Lonchura striata: one gene and its partner. The main gene of each other region encodes a partner of the protein of the gene in region 2 in a complex. Links are inferred from orthologs where the notes say so. Each region holds a gene or a part of one and is shown on either strand. Other genes may lie near its edges.

Evidence for each region.
Region 1: the proteins of LEPR (region 2) and LEP are in contact, whole or in part, in a crystal structure (PDB 7Z3R), measured with the Mus musculus proteins. The link is inferred for Lonchura striata from reciprocal best matches to the Homo sapiens genes LEPR and LEP. Residues at the interface, in NP_666258.2 of Mus musculus: Tyr439, Leu440, Thr441, Arg466, Ser468, Leu469, Tyr470, Gln499, Pro500, Ile501, Phe502, Leu503, Leu504, Ser505, Val560, Phe561, Glu563, Asn564; in NP_032519.1 of Mus musculus: Lys26, Val27, Asp30, Thr33, Leu34, Lys36, Thr37, Thr40, Arg41, Gln92, Gln96, Asn99, Asp100, Glu102, Asn103, Asp106, Leu107, Leu110.

The regions. Positions count from the first base shown.
Region 1 is NC_134607.1:73,000,203-73,003,487, forward strand, and holds LEP (leptin), read left to right. Parts: upstream 1-1,380; 5' UTR 1,381-1,499; coding exon 1,500-1,643; intron 1,644-2,071; coding exon 2,072-2,434; 3' UTR 2,435-2,729; downstream 2,730-3,285. UniProt on the Homo sapiens protein: Key player in the regulation of energy balance and body weight control. Once released into the circulation, has central and peripheral effects by binding LEPR, found in many tissues, which results in the activation of several major signaling pathways.
Region 2 is NC_134611.1:5,535,782-5,539,527, forward strand, and holds the start of LEPR (leptin receptor), read right to left. Parts: upstream 2,809-3,746; 5' UTR 2,743-2,808; intron 1-2,742. UniProt on the Homo sapiens protein: Receptor for hormone LEP/leptin. On ligand binding, mediates LEP central and peripheral effects through the activation of different signaling pathways such as JAK2/STAT3 and MAPK cascade/FOS.

The DNA of each region.
Region 1 (3,285 bases), on a different chromosome or scaffold from region 2:
GAGGGACACCCCAGCCCCCCCCGAAGGACACCCGGCTCAGGGACATCCCCAACCCCCACCCTGGGACCCCCATCCTGGGACCCCCACCCTGGGACATCCCCAACCCCCTCCCTGGGACCCCCACCCTGGGACATCCCCAACCCCCTCCCTGGGACCCCCACCCTGGGACCCCCATCCTGGGACATCCCCAACCCCCACCCTGGGACCCCCACCCTGGGATCCCCACCCTGGGACATCCCCAACCCCCACCCTGGGACCCCCACCCTGGGACCCCCTCCATGGGACATCCCCAACCCTCTCCCTGGGACCCCCACCCGGGGACATCCCCAACCCCCTCCCTGGGACCCCCACCCTGGGATCCCCACCCTGGGACATCCCCAACCCCCTCCCTGGGACCCCCACCCTGGGACCCCCTCCATGGGACATCCCCAACCCCCACCCTGGGACCCCCACCCTGGGACATCCCCAACCCCCACCCTGGGACCCCCACCCTGGGACCCCCTCCCTGGGACATCCCCCTGGTCCCCTCACCCCGGGGTCCCTGTGGGTGCGGCCGCGGGGGTCTCCAGTGTCCCCCCTACCCAGACCTGTGGGGACGCTGTCCGGGCCGGGCTGGGACCGAAGCCCCCGGGGGCTTTGGGCACCTCCTTGTCCCTGTCCTTGTGCCCCCCGGCCCCTGCTGTCCCCGAGGTGGTGGCAGTGCCACCAGCCGTGTCCCTCGGCCCGCGGGGACACCGAGGGTGACCCAAGGGACCACGGGCCCCCCCCGGCCCGGCCGGTGGGGTGGTGGCACTGGGGGGTGGCCGTGTCCCTCCATCACCCGGCCCCGTCTCGTTCCAGGCTCAGCGAGCGCGGGCGAGGCTCCGGTGAGTGGCACTGTCACCCCGTCCCCTCTGTTTCCCCCGTGTCACCACCGCACCCCCGTGTCCCCGCATCCCTGCGTGCCCCCCACTCCCATGTCCCCCCGTTCCCGTGTCACCCACGTCCCCCTATCCCCAAGCTGTGGGTGACACGGTCACCCCAGTGTCCCTCCCGCACCCACCGGGGGCAGGGGTCCCCAGGGAGGTGACACAACCCAGGGGCCCCAAGGCCCACCCTGGCCCTCCCCTCCCCGCTGCGAGCAGCGTCCCCCGCTGGGCACGGCCGGGCCGCGGTGGCCTTGGCGGAGGTGACAAAGGGAGGTGACAAAGGCCCGAGCGGCACGTGCCGGCGGGGACACGGTGGCACCGTGACACGGCGACGAGGGCTCCGGGGTCCGTGTGCCACCGGCGCCGCTTCCCACACGTCCCCTACCCCGTCCCTGGTGACACCAGCCATCCCCCAGCGTGCCGGGGGTGGCGGTGACACGCGTGTCCCCCCGTCCCTGGTGCCACCAGCCATCCCCCAGCGTGCCGGGGTGGCGGTGACACGCGTGTCCCCCGTCCCTGGTGCCACCAGCCATCCCGCAGCGTGCCGGGGTGGCGGTGACACGCGTGTCCCCCGTCGCAGAGGCCGGCGGGATGCGGTGTCCCGGCGTGTCGCTGTGGGGGCTGCTGTGCCTGGGGGTGGCGGCGGCCGGGGGTCGCCCCGTGCGGCTCGAGGGGCTCCGGGCGGACGCGCGGGCCCTGACCCGGACCCTCAGCACGCGCCTGCAGCAGCTCCAGGTGACCCCGGCCCGGGGACGGCGGGGACACCGGGGGAGGGGGCTGTGACACCCCCGGAGGGGCCCGGGGGGACCCCAGACCGGGGGCGGCGTTCCCCAGACTCGGGGGCTGCTCCTCAGTACGGGGGGACCCTGTTCTCCAAAGTGGGGTGGGGTCCCCGGGGGGGTCTCCCATGGGGGGTCCCCAGGGAGGGGCACCTGGGGCTGGGTGGGTGTGGGGGCTCTGGTCCCAAACCGGGCACCCCCAGGGATGGGCTCTGGAGGGGTTTGGGGGGCTGCACCCCCAGGGATGGGCTCTGGAGGGGTTTGGGGGGCTACACCCCCAGGGATGGGGTCTAGGAGCACCCCGAGGGTTGGGGGTCCCCAAGGAGGGACAGCCATTCCCGGGGGGCCCTGCGCCCCAAGCTGACCCCCGCCCTGTGCCCCCAGCTGTTCCCGCTGACCCTGCGCGTCACCGGGCTGGAGGGGGTCCCGGAGGGGGTCCCGGACGGGGGGGTCCCGCCGGGGCTGGGCTGGGCCGCCCAGCGGCTCCAGCTCTTCCAGCGGCTCCTGGGGGCCCTGCCCGGGGGCGACCTGCGCCTGGCCCAGGTGGCCAACGACCTGGAGAACCTGCGGAGCCTGCTGGCCCTGCTGGGGGCCCTGCTGGGCTGCCCCCCGCCCCGCGAGCCGCCGCCGGCGCCCCCCGCCCCGCTGGCCGAGGCCCCGCACACGGTGGCCGGGGTGGCCCTGGCGCGGCTCCGCGGCTGCCTGGACGGGCTCGCCGCCTGCCTCGAGGGGGTCCCCGCGTGTTAGGGACCCCCGGGAGCCCGGGGACGCCGCCGGGACCCCCGGGCCCGCAGGGACAGCCCAGGAGCTCAGCGGGGTCTCATCAGGACCCACAGACGGGACCAGGACCTCAGCGGGGACACACGAGTGGCCCCGGGCACCGGAGCGACTCCAGCCGCTGCTGCACCTTTTTCTACGTTGCTGTTATTATTATTATTATTATTATTATTATTATTATTATTATTATTATTATTATTATTATTATTATTGCTACTGTTACTATTTTTATTAATTTATTTAATTTAAAGCCCCTTTTCCAGCAGCCTCACTTGTGTCTCTGATGACTCTGGGGACAAGGGACACCCCTGGGGACACCTCTGGGGACAAGGGTCACCTCTGGGACAAGGGACACCCCTGGGACAAGGGATACACCTGGGGACACCCCTGGGGACAGGGACAACTCTGGGACAAGGGACTCCCCTGACAACAGGATCTACAGTGTCACGGGGGCAGCCGGTGACAAGGGACCCCCGGGACACGGGGGCAGCCGGGGACAAGGGACCCCCGGGACACGGGGACAGCCGGTGACAAGGGACCCCCGGGACACGGGGACAGCCAGGGACAAGGGACCCCTGGGACACGGGGGCAGCCGGGGACACCAGCGGGGCCCTGGGATCTCCCCGGGCCAGGGTGACACAGGGACACGGCCCCGGTGACTCAGTGGCAGCTGATGACTCGCTGGTGGCTTTGCCATCCCCCGCCTGCTGTGACCCCCACACTTCCAGCCCAGGGGGGACACGGGGCTGGCTGGGACCCCCAGCCAGGTGGAGACAAGGAGAGGGGGACAAGGGGACAGGGATGGGGGCACGGCGACGCTG
Region 2 (3,746 bases):
AAAGGGCTCCATTCCTGAAATATTCCTGAGGACAGTTTCCTTGAGAACATCCCTGGAGCCAAAAGAGGCAGTGCCAAGGTTATGTAACGCACTTTGGGGCTGCATGTCCTGGAAAATATATTTATTTCTATATTCCATATCCACCTGAAGCAGCAGCCAGCTGCCCAGGGAAGTCACAATTCCCAAGTCCTTGTCTCCTGCCTGCTCTCCCACCCACCCAGCTGGAGCTGAATTTCTCCAGCACTGTGCTCTGCAGGATCAGCCAATCCCATCCACTTTCCTCCCCTTCCATTGTGCTTTTTCAGCTCCATTTTCAGCAACTCAAGAGGGAATCTCAGATGTTCCCAGCCCCAATTTCAGGGGACAATTTGGCTCTCAGCACAGCTGGTAGGTGGCCCATCTTACCTCTTCCTTTTCCATTAGTTTATTTCTGCTAGAGAGCCATGAGGGCCAGAGGAATTATGGAGCTATCAGGTCATTTCACAAAGATACAGGCAGGAATTATTTCCAAATCACTGAAATTAGTTAGATTTTCCCTAATTTCAAAAGGAATAAGTACCTTCTAAAAGAGTTTATTTGACATAAATGTACATTATTCACACTATTAAATGGTTTAATGAGAAACAGCCCATGTTCCTCTTTCATAGGTGTAACAAAAATCCCAGTCCATCCTTCAGCCACTTCCCAGCAGGAAACTGGCAGAGATCACTTCCAAGAAAACTGGACATCCATTTCCAAAATGTATTAAGTTATCCATAGGCCCTGGGTGTTAGAGTTTCCCTACTAAATATCCATTTACACCAGGAAGAAAGCAACCACAGAGCCCCAGAACCCAATATGGAAGGAAAATTATAATTTATATTAAGGTTTCTTAATGTCCTGATGGAAGGGAAAAAAAATTAATGGATAATTTCTCCTTGGAAAAGGTGGTCAGGATTGGAAGGGGGTGTCCAAGGAACTCCTGGAAGTGGCACTCAGGGCTGGGGACAAGGCTGGACTTGATGGTCTTGGAGGGCTTTTCCAACCTCAATGATTTTGGGGTTCTGACATAAAAATGGCCAGACAGAGCAATCAGAGATTCTGATGTCAGCACTAATTTAATTTTTAGAGCAGAAGGAAAAACCCCTTTTCAGGTCACATGGACCTAGGCTGGTTTTTCCAACATTCCCGACCAAAGCCAGTGCTCAACATGACCAAAAAAGCCCTGAAAGTTGCATGGCCACAGAACCAGCCTCTTCTCTGTTCGAAGTTCAGCCTTCCTTGTGTAAACTTTGCAGAATTGGGTAAAAAGAGATATCTACAGATAAATCCCCGGGCAGGATAAATGTACTGCTGCAGCAGATTCCCAAAATCTTTTCCAGTGAGAACACTGAACTTGCCAGAAGTTCTTACTCCACTGTAAGAAAGAACACAAGTTTTACAGGAACATTTACAGAGAACTGGAAGTTAAATAAAGAGAATTACTACAACTTGTAAGCTCTGTCCTAGAGAGAATAAATGAACACAGCCAGGACAAACTGATTTGTTTGAGGCTGGGGAAGTGTCTATACAAAAGGAAGGAATTTGGGTCCTTTTGAACCAATATATCTTAAATTATTCTGGAACCACAGAATTTGCTGCTGCTGTGTACAAGAAATTTCCTGATTTCTTATGTAAATACTGTATTCCTCTCCATATCAACCACAGAATTGCAGAATAGCTCAGCACCAAGAGTTGGGATTAAAACCAAAACACAACAGATATGACAGGCAAGGAGGAGAGCAATGAAATAAGATCATTTTTATTTACAGGACAAATGAGAAATCCTAGAATTCCCTGGCTTATCAGCATGGGAAATAGGTTCAGAACAACCTGAAATGAGCAGGACCCACAAACACCTGCACTGGGCATGGAAAATCATATAAACCGTCCCTGATTTTTGCAGGCACTGCACTACAGCTGGTTTTAAATATTAAAAATCTCTAGAAAGCATAAAAATATTTTAGCAATAATGTCTATGCACAGCATCTTCTGACCTGTTCTTTAAAGTGCCGAGGGCTTTCCAGTCCTGTTGGTCTGAGCATGGAATTCCATTTTGCCATTGAGTATATTAAAAACCATTCTTAATAAAGAGTTCAGAGTAAGTGGTACACACAAAATAGAAATGAGTACGACCCACAATGAATAATTTTGCTGATATTAAAGCTTTAATAAAAGCAACCCAAGTTGAGCAGAAGCACAGCTACAAATCCAACTCTAAACCTGCTGGTGGAGCCTCGCCCCCAAGACTCGACAGCAAAACGTCCCGAACTCTTCAGAGTTTCTCCAGACCCTGGAATTTCTCTTGTTTGTAGTGAAACCACTCCTCATTCATGCTGTGGATCTGTCCTTCCTTACGAGCAGAGCTCCTGGGATTCCTTGGCATTTAAAGGTTGTATCCACGTTATAGGTACGCTTGGAAGTTAAGGGCTCTCAGTGTGTTCATTATAAAATACATTCATAAACGCTGTACCATTCATTGACTTTCCGAAGTTCTCTTCTATCTCAGCTCCCGCAGCATCGGGGACTCACAGCCCACATTCACCGAGATTTACTTTTGTTTTGCTTCTGACACTGAATCTCAGGGAATATAAGGAGGGAAAGGGCTGAAACTGCCTGGATCTGCGAGCGGGATGTGGAACCGGCTGGGGGCTGTGCTCAGGGGGATAGTTCAGGATATCAGAGGGGGGGGGGGGAAAGCGGATAAAAAGAAAATTCACCAACCTTCTCCTTGCTCTCGGGGTTCCGACTGGTGGCTGAAGACGCTGTTCCGACGGCGAGCCCAGGACGGGCGCTGCCCTCAGCCCGGCTCCCCTCAGCCCGGCTCCCCTCAGCTCCGGACACTCAGCCCGGCTCTCCTCAGCCCGGCTCTTCTCAGCTCCGGCTCTTCTCAGCCCCGGACACTCAGCCCGGCTCCCCTCAGCTCCGGACACTCAGCCCGGCTCTCCTCAGCCCTGGACACTCAGCCCGGCTCTCCTCAGCCCGGCTCTCCTCAGCCCGGCTCCCCTCAGCCCCGGACACTCAGCCCGGCTCCCCTCAGCCCGGCTCCCCTCAGCCCGGCTCCCCTCAGCCCCGGACACTCAGCCCGGCTCCCCTCAGCCCGGCTCCCCTCAGCCCGGCTCCCCTCAGCCCCGGACACTCAGCCCGGCTCCCCTCAGCCCGGCTCCCCTCAGCCCGGCTCCCCTCAGCCCCGGACACTCAGCCCGGCTGCCCTCAGCCCGGCTGCCCTCAGCCCGGCTCCCCTCAGCCCCGGACACTCAGCCCCGGCTCCCCTCAGCCCCGGCTCCCCTCAGCCCCGGACACTCAGCCCGGCTCCCCTCAGCCCCAGACACTCAGCCCGGCTCCCCTCAGCCCGGCTCCCCTCAGCCCGGCTCCCCTCAGCCCCGGCTCCCCTCAGCCCCGGCTCCCCTCAGCCCCGGCTCCCCTTGGCCTCCCTCGGCTCCCTTCAGCCCGGCTCCCTCCGTCCCCAGCCTGCTTCTCCCCAGCTTTCCCCGGTCCCCCTCAGCTTCCCTCGGTTCCCCTCAGCCCCGACCCTTCCGCCGCCCCGCCCCGGCCCAGCGCCCCGCCCGCCGCGGCCCCTCGCACGGGATAGCCGGGATGGGGCTGGGAAGGGTTTGGAACACCGGCACCCTCGCACGGGATAGCCGGGATGGGGCTGGGAAGCGTTTGGAGCCCCAGGAGAGGCTGAGGGAGCCGGGAAGGGGCTGGAGAATCCCTGAGGGAGCTGA